Linked DNA regions of Lonchura striata. The protein of the gene in region 1 interacts with the protein of each later gene in a pairwise test. Links are inferred from orthologs where the notes say so. Each region holds a gene or a part of one and is shown on either strand. Other genes may lie near its edges.

The links.
Region 2: the proteins of LITAF (region 1) and HIP1 interact in binary tests that used the Homo sapiens proteins (3 or more experiments, as listed by UniProt). The link is inferred for Lonchura striata from reciprocal best matches to the Homo sapiens genes LITAF and HIP1.

Annotation. Positions count from the first base shown.
Region 1 is NC_134618.1:7,965,971-7,976,795, forward strand, and holds the start of LITAF (lipopolysaccharide-induced tumor necrosis factor-alpha factor), read right to left. Parts: upstream 4,185-10,825; 5' UTR 4,026-4,184; intron 48-4,025; 5' UTR 43-47; coding exon 1-42.
Region 2 is NC_134622.1:1,001,980-1,012,766, forward strand, and holds the start of HIP1 (huntingtin-interacting protein 1), read right to left. Parts: upstream 4,683-10,787; 5' UTR 4,632-4,682; coding exon 4,515-4,631; intron 4,287-4,514; exon of another isoform or gene 3,370-4,286; coding exon of another isoform or gene 3,328-3,369; intron 1-3,327. UniProt on the Homo sapiens protein: Plays a role in clathrin-mediated endocytosis and trafficking. Involved in regulating AMPA receptor trafficking in the central nervous system in an NMDA-dependent manner. Regulates presynaptic nerve terminal activity.

The DNA of each region.
Region 1 (10,825 bases):
AGGTGGTGCAGATGGGACAGGATTGCCACTTGGAGCAGACATTATATCTAAAACATAAAAGGGAGAAAATCATAACAAAAGGTTTTATTTATTGATGGCAATTGACAAATAATTAGGCTCAATTCAACAGCAAGGCGATAACTATATTAAAAGGGACTTTAACCAGCATAAAATTAACTGGCTGGTATTTGTTTCTGATCATATTAAATGTTAATCTTGATTTCACTGTTGTTGTTGCCTACTTCCCAATTCCTTTTCACTGGGAATTTTTTACACTTTGGCCCAATACCAATTCTTCCTTTATAAGTTAAAAATACTAAAGTAGGGAGGTGGGGCATCTTTATTAGTATATGAAACAATCTGACATTCTTGTAATTCTCCAAGAACACTATTTCTGATCCCTCTTGTTCACCTGAAAAACAGAACACTATGATAGGCCACATAGTAGTTGCTAACCAACATGAGTCTGGTTTGTGGTGAAACTTATTTAAATGAAAATATTTAAAAAATACGATTTAACTCTGTTGTAATTTGAAATAAGTAAATATATTGAAGGAAAAAGAAACCCAAACAATTAAGCATGTCCAACTAAACTCCAAGCTTTTACAACTATCAAATATATCTAATATATCTACCCTTGCCATTTTTGCTTAGCAATGTTTTAACGAGTTTGTATGGTAAATTTTCCTCCACCAATTGTTAATTTGTTGCAGAGAACAGGAATGCTGATCACCGCCAAGAAACTACTGTGGTTTCAATGCAGACTTCCTCTCCTCCTCCCCACCTACCCACTTCCTATAGTCTGCCCACCATTTTCTTAGTGGAACAAGATCTCCTGGCATCAGTGCTGACCAAGCACCTCCCTTTCCCCCTTCCTCCTAAGGACCATCAGACAGCTCTCCAAGACCCACACTCCATTCTGTTGCTGCACACACGATCCCTCTGTACACATGCAAGTATCTTCACTCAGTACTATCTGGAAAAGGCAACCTATATTTGGAATATTAATTCTATGGTGCCACAAACGTTATATAGGAGCTCCAATTACCCACAGCAGTACTAAGAATAAAAGAAGAGAAATTGCATTGATGCAATTTACAGGTACAAAAGACAACATGCAAAGAGAAAGAATTTCAGATGTGTCTATTTAGGACTGGGCTCACTCCATCCACATAAGTTTGGGTGAGACCCAGCACAGAAGTGCAGTGTATACAATGACACAAGCCTTTCCACTCTCCCAGAGCATGGAAAAGTCCCTGGAATAATGCTGATTACCTTCCTCACACAATACAGCTTTCATCAGGATTTCAGTCAAGTCTATAAACACTTCCACAAAGAACTTGTCACAGGTTTGTTCACTCTTCCAAGTTACACAGGACTACTCAGCTGCACTGTAGGCATGGGGATACACCAGGAAACACCTATGTTTATATACTTCAGGAGTCCCACAGTCTTCTCAGCAGATTTAGCAGAAATGTGGAAAGGTGTATTACAAAGGGAATTGTGTACTCAATCAAGAGTGTGTTTGATAGTAGTCCTGTGGCCAGGACAAACACAGGAGCTGGTACAGAAGAACATAAGTGGCTACAGGTGCTGTCAGCCTGGAACATTGCTCTTTCCCACCTTTCTCATACTCACACTGCAACTTTGGCAGAATGAAAACGGAACAAGACAGCAGTCAAAGATGTTGAAACTCAGTAAGATTTTGTAGCAACAAGTATTTCACAGCTATACCTTTAAAAAACACTGATCTGTTTTCTTTAGAAAAGAGAAGTTTACTCCTTGTGACTAAACTACAGAGCTGAATCACGATCTACTGTCCTCACTTGGTACGCTGGTGTTGGCTGGGGGTGTACAAGAAGCCAGGAGGGGACACTGCCAGAACAGCTGACCCCAGCTGACCATAGGGATATTCCAGACCATAAAGCATCATGCTCAGCAATAAAACCAGGAAGGTTTTTGGAGGGATGTGCTACTCAGGGACTGGCTGGGCATTCATTGGTTTGTTGCTGGCGAGCAACTGTTCTAATTTGCTTCACTTGCTGGATTGTATTTCCCTCTGCTACTCTCCTTTTCATTACAACTATTAAATTATTATTTTTCTTAATTATTTTATTTCAATTATGAGACAGTTCTTATCTCAACCCATGAGTTTTCTTACACCCATCCAGTTTCTTCAGGGGTGCATTGCGTGAGCAGCTGTGTGGTACTCAGTTGCCAGGTGGGGTTAAATACAAAACTACTTCAGCTGCTCAGATCTGCTTCACTGACAAGCAAGTTCTAAGAAACTGAAAGACACTCTTTCAGAGATTTCAAAATGATATAACTTCCAGCATGAACACTTCAAGTTTTGATATTTGCTTTATATTGCATGTTTATTTCTTACCACCAAATGGTTTTGAACAACCATTTCAAAGTAATCACTGTGCTTTTTCTGCACTTTCACTTTTTTTTTTTTTTTGTAGACAAACGTGAACAAGTCTTAGGTTCTTGCAGCACTTTGTAGCATCTCTTTTTTTTTTAAATTTCAAATCTGTAGCACAAATAACATGTACAAAATACTACAGTGAATGGTAAAAAAAATGTATTAACTCCTTCAAGTTATCTATCAAAACAAAAATTCCTAATAAACATCCAGATGACATCAGGACTACAAAAAAGGCCTCTTCAAAGTACCGCGTACTGCAGATGTAACCACAACTTCAGCTTTTAATTTCATTTTTCTCATGTCCCTTCTGCTTTAAATGCCAACACTGAAGAGCTATTTGAGCCACCACTTCATACAGCCAGTGCAAATGCACAAGTGTGTTTCACACTCCACATCTTGAAAATTAGGCTGGGGACAAGGGAAAAAGAAGGTAATAGCCCACCTCTCTGCTTGGTATGTAAAAATACAACCAACCAAAAACCCATCCAATAAGAACTGCTTACAATTACAACTATCCTAACGCAGTGTGGCCAAACAAATGTGTTGCTGCCCTTCCCTTAATCTCTTGCAAAATCTGACACAACTTAATTAAATTAAATTAAATTAAACAATTCCTACACAGTCCTCTTCACTAGAAATCCCAAACAACCTTCCAACACCACGGGTGGTTTAGAGGGTTCCCTGCACATCAGAGTCTAAGACAGATACTGGTCAGCAACACTGAGAATGAAATACAGGTTGAAGGCTATTAACAACCCAGCAGGATATACAGGTTTATCAGAGCACTCGGATTTTTGCAGTGCAAAGCCCTAACACAGCACCTTCTTGGACCACCACTTCGTCTGAACTCTGGACAACTTCCTAGTTTACCAACTTGCTGAGAAATACTATCTCAAAGTTGTTTACATTTCCCAGGCATTTGTGAGAGAATAAAATCCAGTAATCACAACAAAAAAGACTCTGACATATTATTATTTCAGGAAGAACCAATGGCATTGTGGTCACATTGAATTTTGTACTGTCATAGTACAAATAGAATCCGCACGGTGTGTTCCGGCGGCAGAAGCGATTTCAGAGGTTAGAGTGCTACTTCTATCAAGTAATCAATAGTTTTGGAATAATCCTGTGAGTGGCTTAATCCTGTGAGTAACCCGCTCCTCGGGGCAGGGCAGGGCCGGTCTGAGAGGAGCTGCTGCCGCGAGGATCCCGAGAGCATTCCCAAAAGAAAGGGGCCACCTTCCGCCTGCCACACTCGGGAAAGCGAAACTCCGGCCTCGCTCGGCCCCCGCCCGCATCGCCGAGGGCGGGAGTCGCCCAGGGCCTCTCCCGGACCGTCCCGGGACCGAGACCGGGACCGTGCCGCTCGGGACGCCGCTGGCCCGCGAAGCCCCAACCTGCCCGCGGTGCCCCGGGGGCTCCTGCGGGGCGGGACCAGCCCAGAGCCGCGGCTTCTCCCCGTCCCCGCCGCCGGGCCGGAGCACTGGGAGCGGCGCGGAGGGCAGCGCCGGCGCGCAGGAGCGGCCCCGGCGGCGGAGCAAAGCCCCCCCCGCCGCGTTCTGCCCTGCCCGCGGCACCGCCAGGCTCCGGGCTCCCTTACCGTGCCGAGCCGTGCTCGCCAGCCCTCCTCGCCTCCGCTCGCCCGGGTGCAGCCACCGTCAGCACGGATTGTCCCGTCCCGTCCCGTCCCCACCCGCCTTTCCTCCTCCCCTTCCCCTTAGAGCCGCGAGCAGGCGCCGCGGGCGTTGCCCCGGCCGGGCCTTGCCCCGACTCCCTCCCCTGAGCCATCGGCTCCCGGCAGCGTGAAGGGAAGGGAAGGGAAGAGAAGGGAAGGGAAGGGAAGGGAAGGGAAGGGAAGGGAAGGGAAGGGAAGGGAAGGGAAGGGAAGGGAAGGGAAGGGAGCCTGTGGAAGTACAGGCACTCCTGGCGCATTTCGCAGTCACGGCGATCGGCAAACTTTAGCAGGGCCTATCGCAACAGGAAAAGATATGATGATTTTAAAGTGAAGGAGGGGGTTGATTTAGATTATATTAGGAGGCTTTTATAATGTGGGTGGTAAACTATTGTCACAGTTTGCCAAGAGATGTGGTGGATGCCCCTAGAAACATTCAAGGCTGGGTTGGGCAGAGCTCTGAGCAACCTGGTCTACTGAAGGGTGTCTCTGCTCATTGTAGGGGCCTTGGACTAAATGATATTTAAAGATCCCTTCCAACCCACACTGTTCTGTGATTCTGTGATGATGATGTTGATGGGAGTAAAGATGGTTAAGCAAAGGTCAGATGGCCTTTACTGCTGCCTCATCTGAGTGGAGGAGGAAGCAATACTAAAGTATCGTGCTTCTGTTCTTCCTTTGATTCAACCATTAATCCTAACTCAGCCTGACCAACAGTAACTGAAACCCTCATTATCCCTCATTTACCTAGGAAACAGACACCAGCATGCAACTGAGAAAGTGCCTTCGTCCCCATTATCTAAGATGAAAGCAACAGGTAACCAATTGTATTTGATAACAGTCTCGCCTCCATTTATCTGAAAATACAAAATTGATATTTGGAATCCACCACGTAGAGGATGAGAATATTCCCCATAGCTCCCCATTTCATAAACAAGTGGATGGTTTTGCTCCTCTCTCCTCCCCAAAGGAGAGATCCCTCTTTAGTAAATTTCATGTCTCTGTGTCAGACCATACTTGGGTGAAACTAAGCTTAATTAACTGTGAAGTTAAGTGTAATGAAAAACTGAATTTTTCATTTAGCTTGAAGCAAACTTAATTAACTATTGGCTGGTGCTAATGCAGTAACAGCATTTTTCAACAGCAATTCCAAATTTGTATTCCTGTTGCTTCAATAAGTAGCACTATTTGTGAATCTGTGCCAAATTTCATAGTCTAATGGAATAGAGCTGCAGCCCAACCAACTACCTGGGTTAGGCCCAGGAAGCCCATGCAGCTTCCCCAAAGCTGTGTTGGCACCCACAGAAGTTCCCTCCCTGCAGCAGACTGGGTGACTGGGGGGGGACATGGCCAGTGCCAGCTCAAGGTGTAGATGAGGAAATGTGGCTAGAAACTGATACAGCTTTTTATCTCCCCTCCCCCTGCTTCCCCATGAGCTGTGTACCTGAAGATTATAAACATAACTAGTTTTAAAAAAATCGTAAGAAAAAAGGGCCCCATGGCAGTTTCAGAAGCCTGACACACAAATGCAGCAGGATGGATCCACAAGAGTTCTGCTCCATCCTCAGTTCCCATGGCACGGTGTGATCAGCAGCCTCACCTGCTCTAGTCGCTGTTCAGCTTCTCTTTGCTGCGTTGAGCCATCACCAGGGCTGCTAACAGCACCATGGAAATGTATAAAGAATATAGTGGATGTTTTGTCATCGCACTGATTGGACACATGCTATTGCAGAACACCAGCAGATGTCAGTTTAGCCCCAAAAATAATTGCGTGCTGGATTTACTAGCTTTTGCTTTTACAGCAGTAGGTTTCTGTAAAAGAAGCTAAATGATGTTTAAAAGTTGATGTACATTTAAAAGCCTTTTAGCCATATCTTACATGCTGTAGTATGTTCTCAATAACGTGTAAAATAAGTAAACCTTCATCTCACCTTAAATTTCTCCTGCCTAAAAATCACAGGACTTGCACACATACAAATAAATATCTTTTTATAAATGTATATAATGTTGCATATACTGATTTGTTGAAGCTAGATAAGGGAATGACTATGACTATATATTTCTATGACTATATACTTACAGAGTTGTACCAGAATGCAGTTTCAGAGCAATGATCAATGTACAAAGACAGATTTAAAGAGAAGCAAGGTAGATACATTAAACCAAATAATCTGATAGCATAATTGTTTTTTCTTAACTGCTGAAATGCTAAGCAAACAGAACAAAAACTCCAACACAATTTCAATAGTTAGTACAATGATACAAGTGTTGAAATTCCCATGAGAAGCCTCAAAGATGACAACAGGATCCCACACTTCAGTGTAATTTATCATGTTAAACAGAAGTAGTATATATCTAGTCTAAAATTGGAAATGATTCCCCAGAAAAGCAATTGATTAACAGAATTGTGAAATTAATCCAAACCTAAATATTAGTACTTTGTTGTCCTTCTAGTACTGCTTCCTTCTTAATTACCAACTCCTGTAGTGTTATTTGATCATCATAACTGATAACAGCTGCCAGACTGCAAAACACAGTACAGCAAAATATTTAAGCATGCAAATCATATTATCTTCCCTAGAGAGTGAGACAGAAGTGTGGTGTCAAAAGAGGTAATGATAGATTTCTTTTTCTCAGAACACTTGGCACTTCATGTAAAGGATTATGAGAAGAACAACCACTCACTGCCAGTAATGGTTCTCCTAGTATGAACAACTAGAAAGAAACGGTTATGATAGAAAAGTTTTACCTTTAAAAACAGCAGGTCTGTCTTGATAAAGTCATCCATTATTTGATAGATTGATTATCTATTAATGCCATGACAAAACAGAGAGGAAAATTATGATTCTCCAAACATTTACCCTTCAAATTCATCTTCCTACTCCCTTGACAGGGTACAGGAAGGATATGATTTTAAAAATAAAGCTGCCTGATTATTTTTCCTGTAGTCAGAACTGAAACATGATTTCCACTGCTCTGATGTCATTGCTGAATGAAATGGTACAAAAATCCTTTCTTCATGCCCTTCCTCCAGAATAATGCCTGACCTGCTGTTTGGCCAAGCTCTGGTATAATATTGGCAAAAATCAGCCTTGCCAGCTCGTATATCTGACACTGAAATCACTGATCTAAATCTTACAGTGAAGCTTCCTGCTACTTTGATTGAGGCAGCAGCCAGAAATGTTTTCATGAAGTGCTTTGATCCAACTCTGTGGATCTAAAGTGAGTAAGGAATGACACAGTATTCTCTGTGCTTAATTCTAATATTCACACAGCTGTCATCTGGACACCAGGATTATTGTGATTTCATTGGGATATAGGCAATAAATACAGAAATATGTATAAAGATTGAGATCATATTACTAAAAATTCATAGTTGTCCAATAAGACTTTCCTTCAGGCCTCAAATACCTCCTTCTCTTAAAGTCTGTTTCTAGCATCACTCACACATTATATTAAGCTATATTCCAATAAGCATTTATTTTCTAATGCTTCTCTCACTTTATGAGTTACCAATATTGAATTATATAATAGTCTATAATTTCTAGGTTTTTTTTCTTAGGTTACTTGATTTAAGGATATCTTTGACATCATGTTTAGCATTTCAGCTCCCCACCTCTGGTAGGACTGCCTTCATTGAAGCCACTTCAGTGAATCTCTCAAGTCTCAGGTCCAAAGGGGTCAGTTCCTGTTTCAGGAACTCAGACATTATATGCCATATCTTGTCACTTGGTACTGGCTGTCTGTAGGAAGCAGCAAGCCAGGAAGCATATCATCTGGGCACAAATGTCATAGCTACAGAGCTAAAACACAACAGCAATGTGAGCATTAACAGCCATTTACCAAACAGATGACTAATCATGGTGAAATGCAATCTCATCCGCCATTGCTACACAGTAAGAAAACACTTCCCCAGATCTTGTGCAGCCTCGAGTGGCTTGTTACACTGGATGCCAAATATTTAGGACACTCCTTGTTTGAAATGAAACCTTTTGTCTTTTCAGACCGATCCTTTATGATAAACAAAGCAATCAGTAAACAATTGAACATGCTTACAAAGATTGGTAAAAAAGATGAGTGAACTAGAAAGCCTCAGGTAGGCTGGTGAGAGCTGGCTGATCTGCTGGGTGCAGAGATTCTGCAAGTCTTGATTGCATGCACAGCTCTTCTTGAATTTGCCCTGCAGCAAAATCATGTGGTCTGTGACACAATCACAACAGAATCTGTGGTTTAAAAATAAACTGCTTCTCTGCAAATTTATGGCTTGGTTTAGTCCAGCTTATAAATAAGTGTCCAGCACTGGTCAGCAAACACAGTTCCTTATGATTATCACATTGTGCATGGCCTCATTAATTGTCAATAGAGCCAGCTATTTTAGAATCTTCAAACAGTTGCAACACTTGGGTTTTGTCCCAGATGATTGTTGAGTAAGTCATCAGTTCTCTGAGCAGCTTATGTTACCCTCATTTGTATATCTGACCCAGCTACTTTACCACTTCCTTGATAGCTTTCAGCACTCCAGAGTTGCCTCACAAATCTATTAGAAGGAGCTGCCACCTCTGTGCACTAATTGTGTTCCACCCGCGTGCTGGGAGGGCTTGGTAATGGGCCCTTTTCCAGGATCTCTGCAGGAGCAATTCAAGACACCTGCCCTAAAGCCAGGAATGGCTCTGACCACCTGTAGGGCAGACACAGCTACCTACACAATGAAATTTATTGTTTCTTTAATCAAATGGGAGTAACAATAGTGACAATCCATCCACTAACTTTTATTAATTAAATCAAATTTGAATTACAGTCTTTTTTGTTTTAAACAAAAAATTGAGTCCAAATTAGATTTTAAGTCAGACCAACAGCTGAAGCTGTTTCATGTTAGAATTGTACTTTCAATGTAACAGCAAAAACATCACCTTTGTAACAATTTTTTTAACTTTAACATACTTGTTTTTGAGCACATTTACCATAAATTTTAGAAAAACAGGTAGTGGGCTGTCTCTAAAGGACTTCTACAAAAGTCCTTTAGACTATTATGCCTGCTGATCTCATTCAGCAGACATAATATTTTGACAAATACTGGGGGGATTAGAACCTTCCCCATAAGATTAATCCTTACGGCATTTGGAAAGGATTTTTCACTCACTAAAGAATGACATAAGAGCTGTCACTTGCATTCTACCAAGAAGGAATCAAGCTAATATAGGTCAATAAAGAATATAGATATCTTAATTTCAAATATCAGTACAAGTTGTTTATGTCTGTAATAAGAGGAATCTTTTTGCTTTCAAATTTGAAGCAAGGAAATTTCTAAAATTATTGTCTCCTTATTGTTGGCTTGTAGCACTTATGCAGCTTTGACAGATTTCTCAGAATGACTTCTGACTGGTTCCCAGATGAACATTTTAAGTTATTTATTTATACTTACTTAAATAGAAAACTGCAGAAAATTTTATGTTTTATAGTTTTAATAAGTGGAGCAGAGGAAATCAAGCATCCTCAAAATTAAAGGAACCAAGCAAACTCAAGTAACTTAAATTGAAAAATAAGTCCCAAGAAGAAAGATTGTTTGCATTGAGTTACAAATATCACATACACAAAATATTGTGGTCTTTAAATATTTGTCTCAGATTCAGACACAGTATGACTTGTCCACAAGATGGCAGGCACTGTATCCAGGAGGTTCTGACTCAGAAATGTACTTTGTAACATCTGTGGGGCAAAAAGCTTCATGTTAATTATCCTTCTTAATTTCTTCATCCTGATAGGCAAGCACAGAAGAAAATGTAGTGCCTAGAAAACATCTGATGATGACAGCTACTGTAAACTGTTTTGTAGGAACAGCTTTACCACTGCATAAATTCTGCAATAAAGTTTTCTAAACTAGAGCTATTCCAAACAAAAGCACCACAAAGATCACATTTATACTGAACTTTTGACACATACAACTTAACCCACATTTCTCAGGATAAAAAATTATAAAACCAGAAATTTCTAAAAACTGAGTCAACAAAAGAGCCAGGCCACTAGAGAAAAGGCTGTTCTGATCCTTCCACAGTTTGCAGGCACTCATAATTCTGCCCTCCCAGGAGGGACTTGGCACTGCTTAAATAAGGATCATAGCTGGTGAAACAAGGATGTAAAATTTTACTTGCAAACTAGTCAAGCACCAGTCCAGACTTCTTGTGCACTGCTCACCATGCAGAGTTAGTACCTTGAATTCCTTGGTCTTCAAACTCCCCCTTCCCTAAGGATTTGCATTATGTTGTTAGCAGTAGTACTCTCCCAAGATGCACACCCTGAACTTTGTGATCCTTGCTGCTTTGTGGCCTTCTTCAGGAGATGTGATCCTCACATAGTTACCAGTGCATCCTCTACCACTACAAACTTCCAACCACACACATAATGGTTAGCAATGTCATTTTTAAGACAATTTTTATATTTTGGACCCTGCTTCTCTGGACTATCTTCAGGCTATAAAGGTTGCTAAGCTTGTGCTTATCTAATCTTCCATTTTTGCTGTCCTTCAGTTTCCTACTAAGAAATGAGTCAGAGGATGATTGCAGACTGTTTGTCCTAAGACACTGCTTTGCCAAAGGAAAAGCATATTCTGGGCCACACTACTGATGACAGAAAGAAATAAGAGCATGCTAAGTTTATCCAGAGTAGGAAAAGGCTGCTACACACAGGAACATAAAATATGTGGCGTTTTATCCATGGATGAGAGAAGGAAT
Region 2 (10,787 bases), on another chromosome or scaffold:
GAATTTCCTTTGCAACTGCGAGTTCGACTGAGCTAGGTCTGATCTCTAATTAGCTGGGTTGCTGTGTCTGGAAAACACAGGACCATTTTCCCACTTATAAGAATGCTGGGAGAAAAGGATTAATTGCATTAATGGAGCTGTGATGGCGGCCCAGAGGTGACACAGCCCATGGTAGGGACAGGATGGGCACAATCTGCTTTTAACCTGTATTTGGCTGTGAAAAAGTTGGGTTGACATATCAAAAGAATTTATTAACTGACACTGAGGGAGAAAAAAAAATCAATTTCATTTGTGCCTGATACTTTTTATTTTGCACCATCTCTCTGCACCTGGTTTTAGAGAAGGCTCCTCCAGCAGCAAGGCAAGAAGCAAAACAGCTTTGCAGCCCCTGAGGGATGGCTCATGGATACTAAGGACATTAAAACCTTCCAGAGCAGAAGTGGCATCAGCTACATTCAGAGTTCTGCATCTCCCTGGCATGGAAATGCCACACCTTCCCACTGGGAAATCCTTAGCAGGAGGATCTGACATCCCCAGCACCACCCTGGAGACTCTGATGGCAGGAGTGGAGATGTAGCCAGCAATCACCTTCTGCTGCAAATATGTCTTTGCAGGGTAATTTCTGAGCCATAAATTGCTTTTATTGTTGCACACAGTCCTAGGGACCATCGTGTAAATGTGCTAGAGGTAGTGGCAGCTGTGGGCAGTCCAAGTGGTCCCTGTTCCCCTTTGCTGCTCCTTGAATTTACCAGAAAAAAACGGCAGCCAAAGAACCTAAAATGTAAGTTTTTTAGATTTTCTGCAGGAATTTTAAAGAAGGATCTCCTCCCAACCCCCACCCTTGTCAGGATTCCATCCCTTGGAATTGTCCCTATGGCAGGGACCATGCTGGGCATGCAGCCTCATTGGATGGCATGAAGCCCCAGCAGCCATGAGCTCTGGGAAACAAACATGGAATTTCTGTAGCTCCTCCACAGCCCTGGGCACTGTCTCCACCTCATGTTCTCATCCTTGGGACACAGCACGGACTCAGGACAGGGCAGCCTGCAGTGGTGTGGGACATGATGGCTCCTGATGGAACACAGCTGGGCACTAGAGCAGTGCTCAGGATGGGAGACACAAGATAATTATTTGGTGACTTTGCAGCCCAGGAGATGACAACACACCAGCATAATATGCCACCTCCCTTCCACCCAAAATCCACAAGATGGGGACAAGGACTAAAGACCAGGGCATGTCCTACTACAGCTTTAATGTCACTTCCCTCAATTTTGATATCTGAGCGTTTTTGCCCAATGCAGTGATGAGTTTAAAAAAAGAAGGAACAAGTTGGTGCAGGAAGAGCTGAGCTGTGTAAGGATCTTTCGTAAGGATCTTTCCACACCTCCAGCCTTCCAGGAGTCAGCTGCTGCTTTGCTTGGGAATGTCATGTACCACCTCTGGGAGTCTGCAGTTGCACCTGCACTGATGCCCTGCTGGCCATATCCCTGCTGGGAATGAAGGGAAATAAATATCCCATGGCACTGCAAAACATGAGTGAAGGAGCAGGAGAGGCTGGGGGATCACCCCTGGAGCATCATCCCTGCCCCGCTGAAGTCCTGTGTCCTTCCAACCCTGACTTCACCCTCAACACTTTGGCTCATCCAATTGTTGAACACCCAGTCTTTGCCAACTAGCCAAGCACAGAAGGAATTTCAGTCCTTGGCTCCATCATGGCACAAGGATGTCTGCTGTGGACAATTACAGCATGGAAAGAGGAAGAAGGAGGGAAGGTCCCAAGGAGGGAAGATCCCAAGCACTACTCTAAACAAAGAAGACCTTCCCTGCAGAGCTCCAGCACCAGCGCATACCCCTTAATCCAACCAGGAGAACTTGGAGGGGATGCAAACTTCAGACACCATGTGAAACATTTATCTTAAAATGTGGCAGGATTTTCACTTTCAATGTTTTTTTCTCCTCCGTTAGTGATCCTTGCTGTGCCCAAAGATTTGTGCCAAGGTTGAGGTGGTGAATGGTGAATCACCACATGAAACATCAGCAAAGGGGGAACAGTCATTGCAACACTCATACTCCCTGATGGCAGCAGAACTGCAGGATTTGGTGTCCCTGTTGCTCAACTTCCTATGAAAATTATCAGCATCGACAGAAAAGGAATAGAGCAGTCCTTGGCTGTGTCTTGTTCTTCCTGAGCTGCTCTTGCCCAGCAGGCAGCAAGAACAGCATGAAAGGAACACCATGTCTGGGCATGTCCTCAGGTTTCCCACATTTGCATTCCCAGGAAAATCAATATACTTGCACAACTGTAGGAGCAGAAGAGAGGCCACCAGGAAATTTACTGCTGTTTGTCTGCAAGCCAACAGATGGAGGCTGTCAGGACAGAATTGTTGTGCAATGCAAATGCAATAACCACCATGGAAGCTTTCCACCACCAGAATATCCCACCACCATGGAACAATTCTAGCACCAGTTTACCACCACCACAGAAACATCCTATCACCACAGGAACATCCCACCTCCAGACCTCCCCACTACTAGGATGTCCTACCACCACCACAGCTTTGTAGGGTGCTCTTGTTCTTCCAAACTGAGCTCAGACCACAGAAACTGGGTGCTGCCAACCCAAGCAGGTGTTCCTCAGGCTCCCCAAAGGCCCATTTGGATACACTTTCTGCCTGTTTTAGCACTTTTACCCCAAAATAAGCGTTGCGATGTATGTGCTGCTGCCTTGAGACAGCCAGGATTGGGGGGAGGGAAGGAGTCTGTACATGCTAAAAACACAGGGAAATTTTTCATTTTAAAGCCATTTAACAGATGAAAGTTTTCTTAAAAGAAGTCACTTTCAAAAAGAAAAAACCCAAAGCCACAAAGTTTCTCTAAAAAAAAAACCTCAGAAAGAAGAAGTTGGACAAAAATTGTACAACCAAGACCTAACGGGTGCCTGGCAAGTTCTCTAAAGTGGAGAGAATTATGGGGAAAAAAAAAAAAAAAAAAAAAAAAAAAAGAGGGAGAAAAAATTAGTTAGAAAGGGAATTGCACGGAGCTGAAGCACAGAAGAAGAAAAAGCTAGACAAGGCCATGCTGTGTCATTAGTCTGGAAATAAGATGAGGAAGATGAAATCCAGCTCGTAGCAATGTGGGGAGTGGTGCCGCTCCACCACCCTCTCCACTCAGCCCTTCCCAGGAAACCACTAGCTCAGGGGGAGCCTGAGAGAGCTCCAGGCCCATCCGGCTGTTGCTGACACAACACGGAGCCAGAAGGTTCCAGGAGCAAACCAGTTCCATTCCTACCTTTAGCAGTATGAGTAAATAATTGATGTCTGAGGTAACCTGAGCGGGAAGGTGAGCAGAGCCTTGCACATGATCCTGCATCCAACTTCATGGCCTGGTGGGTTTTCTTCCTGCAAAACCCCCTCAGACATGATCCTTGGTGTTTATTTCCATCTCTAAGCCATATCCCATGTGTTGCTCCCACTCTGGGCTCATTCAAGTCTGCTTCCACTGGTCCCATTTCTACCCTTGCTCCTGCCTCAGTTTCCCTTCCTCTCCCACGGTAGGTCTGGACAGTTCTGCTTCACTGGTACTTTCCATCCCTGGACATGGAGCAGAGCCAAGCTGTCCCCAGCTCCCTCTGCCGCCATCCCTCTCTCTTCACTCCCCCCATGCTTTGATGCTTTATCCAGGCATATCCCCAGCTGCTCCAAGCACAGCCTTTCCCCAAATCACCAGCTTTTTCCACCAAAGCACCCCTACTGCCCTTCCAGTTTGGCTGCCACCTTTCCTCTGTGCAGGACATCAATCCATCACCTAAAACCTGAGCAAAGGGCCCCATCCACCCCCATACTCTGGATGCTGCTGACAGTGCCTCTTCCCAGGAGCCAACTGCAGGGACAGACCCTGTCCACACCTGGGGTCTCGGTGTGACACAGGAGCAGAACTGACTCCACTGGCCAAAGAGCCACTTCTGTGTTCCCTCCAGCCAGGGAACACAGGCTATGTGTGCTCAGGGAGGTTCCAAGGACAGGGTGGCACCGTCCTGGGCATGATGCCTGGCTGTGGCCGGGCTTGGAGACTTGGCAGCTCAGGCCAGCGGGTCAATGTTCCCTAGCCCCGCTGCTGGGAAGGCCAGGCTGAACAAACACTGCTGGGCTGGGGCATCCCGGCTGTTCCTCCAGGGCCGGCTCCAGCCCTAGCCACGAAGTCCGGCGGGTCCCCAACCCCGTCGCCCCAGGGCGACCCGCGGCCCTCCTCCGCCAATCCCCCCGACCTGCCGCCAACCCAGCTGCGCCCTTGCGCCAGCACCAACCCGCCAGGCAGCTCCATCTGGCTCTGGCTCACCCGGCTGGCCGCGCCCACCCAAACAACCTCGCCCACCTCGGGTAACCCCGCCCGCCTGGCACAGGTACGGGCGAGCCGTGCCCACCGCACCGCGCCGCGCCCCGGCTCGCCCCGCCCGTCAGCCACCGCCTTCCCCTCCTCACCGCTCGCATCCCCGCCCCGCCCCGCCCTGCCCGCACCTGGGCGCGCTCGAAGCTCTCCCGCTCGGCCTCCAGGCTGCCGCCGCCTGCCCGCCGGCTTAGCACCTTGGGCAGCGGGTTGGCCACCTGCTTCATGGTGCTGCTCACCCGCTCCATGGCCGCCCGACCCGGCCCGCCGCCCGGCCCGCGCCGCGCCGCCACCGCGGGCCCTGCGCCATTGGCCCGCCCGCCTGCCCCTCACGGCCCGCGGGCACCACCCTCCCAGCCGAGCCCCCCCCCACCGGCCCGGATTCTCACTCTCATTGGTTCATATGGACGTCAATCAACGCAAGCTCCCGCCTCCCCAGTCCCCCTGCTCTTTGCTCCGCCTTCAGGGGCCGCGCCCTTAGCACCGCCCACCCGAGCGCCGCGGCCACGCCTTTGCGCAGTTCCCTACTGTGATTGGTCCGCGGCCCTGCCGCTCAGACACCGGTGTCCCGCCCCGCCCCTCCCCTGTATGGGGCGCGGCGCCCCCTGGCGTCGGCGGACTGATCGGGACGCGCCGGGCCGAGCCCAGGGGCCGCCGTGGGCTCCGCCGGGCCCGGGGGCGGCCGCCGTGCACCGGCTCCGAGCCGCGGCTGAGCCCTCCGGGGCCGCCGTGCACCGGCTCCGAGCCGCGGCTGAGCCCTCCGGGGCCGCCGGCCGCCGAGCCCCGTATGGCTCCGTGAGGCTGCGGCCCCTCGGCCGAGCCCGGCGCGTGGCCACGGGGTGACCCGGCACCGCCGCCCCGTCCCCGCTGTCCGCCTTGGGCCGGGCCGCCCCTCACGGGTGTTCGTGGCTCCCCACGGCCTGGGCCGGGGGTGGGGAGGCGGCTCCGCCGGCTGTCAGCGCCAGCAGAGCCCCGCAGCCTGCGGAAGGGTCGTGTGAGGCTTTTCCCGTGTGGGATCCAGGCTGGGGGTGGGAGCTCTGCAGGGCATTGCTGCAGGCACAGCTGGCAGAGCCCAACAGGAAGTGTGTAGCATTGGCAGAGGGGCAAAATGTGGTTACAGGGGTCTGAAAAACGCCAATCATTTGGTTTTTAAAATTTTATACGTTTAATAATAATAAAATTGTTATAAAAATAATAATACAATTAGGGTAATAAAGTTTAGAGTTAGGACAATTACAAGACAATAAAAAGCAAAGAATTATGGATGTCCGGATGCTCTCATACACTAAGTCACGAAAAGCATGACTTGTGAACAAAGGAATCACCCTTAAACTAATACACTTGTTGCATATTCATACATCCTTTATGGTTATGCATACGTTCTATTTTAAACAAGAAACTCTGTTGTATGTCAACTGTTTCCTTTAATCCCCTGGCGTCTTCGAGTCTGAGAAAGGCCTGAAGAAATTAGCTTCTTCTCATAAGAAGCCATAAATTCCTCTCCTTTGGAAGATTTAGGTGTTCCTCGAAGCCAGTATCTCATTCCTAAAAAGAAAAGTCCCCCCACATACATAGTCTCTATTTTAACATTATGTTGTAACCTAAAACTACACTTAACACAATACGTAAGAGAATTAATACAGCATAACTTTCTAACATTACACATATAATATTCATTGTAACATTTGCGAAAAGCCAATCACAAATATGCATTTTTCACAATGGGGTCTGAAAAAGAAGAGAGGAAAGGTGAGAGAAGGATTTTGTTTCCCCTGGACTGTGTTTTATTATAACTTGATCTGGTCCTGTCACTCTAATCAGAGATTTTTGTAGCATTAGATTGGATATCAGGAAGGAATTATTGACTGTAAGGGTGGTTGAAGCCCTGGCACAGGTTGCCCAGAGAAGCTGTGGCTGCCCCATTGCTGGAAGTTACCCAGGCCACACTGCATAGGGCTTGGAGCAGCTTGGTCTAGTCAAAGGTGTGCAGGAGGTGGAACAGGATTGTTGGAAATTATACAACTTCTAAATTTTTAAACTAACTTTAGTCAGTGGTTTCGTTCATCTTTGCCCAGGAAGGGAATGGAAGTTTCTTTTCAAGAGACTGTTCCCTAGGCAAGGCCTGATGAGTTTAACATCTCAAGGGACTGGGAGTGCCAAAGGATGCACAAGAGATAAGCGACCATTAATGAACATCAACATCTGAACATCCTTCCTGTTGTGTCGGAGACACTTAGTCCAGGAAAAGATCATAAAAGAAGAATGAGGGCCCGATGAGTATCGAAGGTGAAGAGATCAATAACCAATAGGAAACCAAATTCTAAGAACTGTGTAACTTCAGACCAATAAACATTGAACCAATGAATCTCTCTGAGTTTTAACTGTATAAGTATGTAAAAATCTAGAAAAGAGACATGTGATGGAATTATTTTCTTTGCACAACCCAATGTGTGGATGAAATTACTTCTGTTGCACATCCTGGCCAGAACATCATCCTGGCCAGAATAAAATAACGCTTGAGTTCTCTAACATTAAAAATTGTTCAAAAGGTTTTGTTTTTCCTGCTGTTTAAGTGACAGGATGAACTTTAAAGTTTCTTCCAACTCAAACCATTCTGGGATTCTCTCAACCTGGCGAATTACTGGCTCCTGTAATTTTGACCAGGACTATCATCCTATTCCAGAGGTGAATTTCTCACTTGGAACATTTCTACAATACTGGGAGGAATTCCTTTTTTTTTTTTTTTTTTTTTTTTTTTTTTTGTTTTGTTTTGTTTTGTTTTGTGAAGAGACTGAAAACTGAATTCCCAGATATGGCAAATGGGCCATGCTGGGACTGTGCCAGCTGGGTTCCTGAATCCTTAAAAGCAGATCATAACAAATCAGTGACTTTGCTCCAGGTGGGGAGAAACTGTGCAAAACACTGCTGGGGTGATGGGGCAATCTGGAAACAGCTGTTTAGCATGTAGGCTGTCAGGAGCTCTTGTGTAAGCAATCCTCCCAGCATATCTCTCTTTTCTGACTTTTTCAGCTGAAATAATTGCCACACCAGGACCCTCCTGGAGCTGCCCAGCAGGGTGTGTGACAGCCTGTTTGCATCACAGGCCTTACCAGTCCCTGTGCATTGGACAGCAAATCCCAGCTGATGGGAAATGGCCTGCGTGGAGCAGCGAGACCATTCCTCCCACTTGTCTCAAGTGCCTGTCTGCATTGTCCTTAATGTACTTTCTGGAAACCTGCCTCCTTCCTTGGGGCTGCTCCCAGGGGAAGTTTAATGGGTTTGATTCATCCACTGTTGCAGCGAGATGATTAATAATTGAAGAAATTACATCATTGCTGAATAGAGATGGAGGAAAGGAAGAGCAAAGGAAGGGACTGGACAAAGGATAGTGGTGCCTTGTGATCTGGACCTCTCCCACCCTCCACCTCACTGGGAACATCCTGCTCCTGGAGCCCATGGCAAGAGACCACTAGGCTGAGGCTTGGTATAGCTGCTTCCTCCTACTGAAGAGCAGAGCCACATCCTCTTTGTCCCTAGCCAGGGCCCAGTGCTCATGCTGGGACCTGGGCAGGAACAGAGCAAGGTGCTTGGATGCGGGACAGAGCAGGCTGTTTCTACTGGCTGCTTCTGCCTCTCCCAGGAAGGGGCTGTAACAGGATAGAACTGGGATCCAGCCCATGAGCTGCTGGTCAGACCACCCTGGGCTGGCCTATTCCACGCAGCCTTTCTGCTGGAATGTGCTGTGGGGATTTGCAGGGATTTGAGAGGCTCCTTCCCAGTGGGAGAGAGTGCCTTGTTTTCAGGTAGTTGAGAGGGGAAGGCACAGAGCTGTTCCTGTGCAGCATCTGTTCCTCTGCCTCAGGTTCCATGGGGAGATGATGGGGAAGGGCTGAAACTGAGCAGGGTGGAGGTAGAGCAGGTTGGGCATTGCTCTTCCTCCCCAGCAGGTCCTTTTTGGAAGCCATGGCTGGGGTTCACCTGTTCTCAGAGTGCTCTCTCCTCACTCCTGTCCAAGAGGCTGGACTGAAGGGTGATAGCAGAGCCCCTCGTGGGGGTGTCTGGCCTGTGTGGGGACAGACATTGTCTGGACATGGAGAGGACCATGTGTGCCCTCTCTTTTTTCCTGCTCAGCAGTATGTGGCACCAATCAAGTACTGCTCAGGCCAGGCAGGTGGGACTGGAGCTCATCCTTCCCCTGTTGCAGGGCTCCGTAGGGCAGTTCCCTCTTTATTCTCCATGCCCAGAGGTTCCTGTCCACAGGATCCTAAAGGAGGTCTGCTCCCATTCTGTCAGGACACCCTTAACCCAAATGGGAAGGCCAAGTAACAGGAGTGGGACCAGAAGGGACTGCAGGGGCTATGGGCCCTGTCTGGGGCTCAGGGATGCACTTTTCATGGGGGCTGGGAGCTAGAGTCTGTTTTTATAATTCCCTCCCCAGCCAGAGCTGGAGAGTCCCAGGGTGCTGCTGCAACAGTCATCACCCTCTTGTGGCCTGGCCTGGGCTCAGGGAGAGGACAGATCCCCCTTGTTTCAACAGGAAAACAGAATCACAGAGCTCCACAGTCCTTCCTCTGTTATCCTGCTGGCTGTGCTGGAGTGGGCTGGCACAGGGCTCTGTGCTAAGATCCCTTCTCTTTCCACCTTGGAGGTGGGAAAAATGGATCCCAAATGGATCCCCTTCAGTCCCTTTACACATTCCAAGGCAGGCCCAGATGCAGCCCTGCCCTGGTGATGGGGTAATTTGCTCAGACTCTGGGACAAAAACAACTTCTGAGCCGAAGTATCCATCTGGAGAGGGCAGAGTAGTAGTCCAGACCCAGCAGGAGGGTCCTTGAGGAGCAAAGATTGTGCCAGGAGGAGCAGGCATGGAAGCATGGGGAGGATATTCATCTTTTGATACTGTGTTTTGAATGCTTTGGGCAAACAGATGTTGCTACTGAGTCTTTGCTTGTGCTCCCAAAGAGACCCTGGGCTGCTATGTGGGGCAGGGACAGTCTTGGTGCAGGATCTGGGAGGGCATTGGAGAGCACTGGAGACAGAACAAGGTGGGACTGGGAGAGGGTCTTGGACAGGACTGCTTGGCTAAGGTGCTTGAGGTCCAGTGGGGCCCTCACCTCTGTCCTGTCTGGGTCTCCTACTTTCTCAGGTGTTACAAGGAGGGCTGTAACCCCAAAACGTCATCTGCTGTGTTTTCTGCACGGAAGCCTCAGCAACTGCCTCTGCTTGCCCAAGAATTCAAAAGCAAAGCTGAAGAGGTTTCCAGATGAATCTGCAGAAGAGCTGAGCTCCACAGGGACACTGAGCTGCAGGGGCAGATGCCTAGGTGAGAAACCAGCTCACAAGCAGGACCTGGAGGTAGGGAATGTTTTTGCCACTTGCTGGAGAGTGTCCCCATGGCATGGCCAGCAGGTCCAGCTAGAGCACCCCACCGAGCCCAGGTCTCTTCCAAGGCAGGACATGGCAAGCCTGATTTCACATAATCAATGGGTTGGAAAAGACCTCCAAGATCATAAAGTCCAACCTATGACTGATCACCACCACGTCAATTAGACACTAAGTGTCACATCCAGTCATCTCCTGGGATGGTGACTCCACCACCTCCCTGGGCAGCCCATTCCAATGTCTGATAACCCTTTCTGTGAATAAATTCTTCTTAATTCTTCCTTTATTTCTGTGTTGGAAGCTTTGGCTGCCAGAGTTGGATTACTGAGGAAAGGATTTCAGTGTAAGACTTGGGATGTAACAGAGTTGAGCGTGGGAGCCCTGTGCTCATTGCAGTGCAGTCTTGGGAGAGCACAAGGCAGGTACTGTGGCATGGCATGGGCATGGATCTGGAGAGCCAGTACATCCCTGTCTTCCCTTTATGATACAGGAAACGTTCTGGCTCTCTACAACTCCCTGGCAGGAGGGTGGATCCAGGTGTGGGTCAGGCTCTTCTCCTAGGGAACAAGTGATAGGACAAGGGGAAACAGCCTCAAGTTGAACCAAAGGAGGTTCAGGTTGGATATTAAGGAACATTTCCTCACTGAAAGACTGGTCAAGAATCAGAATGGGCTGCCCAGGGCAGTGGTGGAGTCACCATCCCTGGAGGGATTTAACAGAAATAGAGATGTGATGCTTAGGGCTACAGTTAGTGGTGGGAGTGCTGTACTCAATGATGTTAGAGGTCTTTTCCAACCTGAATGACTCCATGATTTCTATGTTTTCCATGATCCAACATCCACCAGTACCCTTGTCAAATGTTGTTTTCATGATTCCTGCAACTCCATGGCCTGACTTGCAGATGTCCCCTGTACCTCCAGCTGATGACAACAGGTGGCAGAGTGTGCAAGGACAATGCAACTGTCATTCTGGTGCTTGGCAGCTTCAGGTCCTGCCCGTCTCAAACCCAACACCAAATGGTT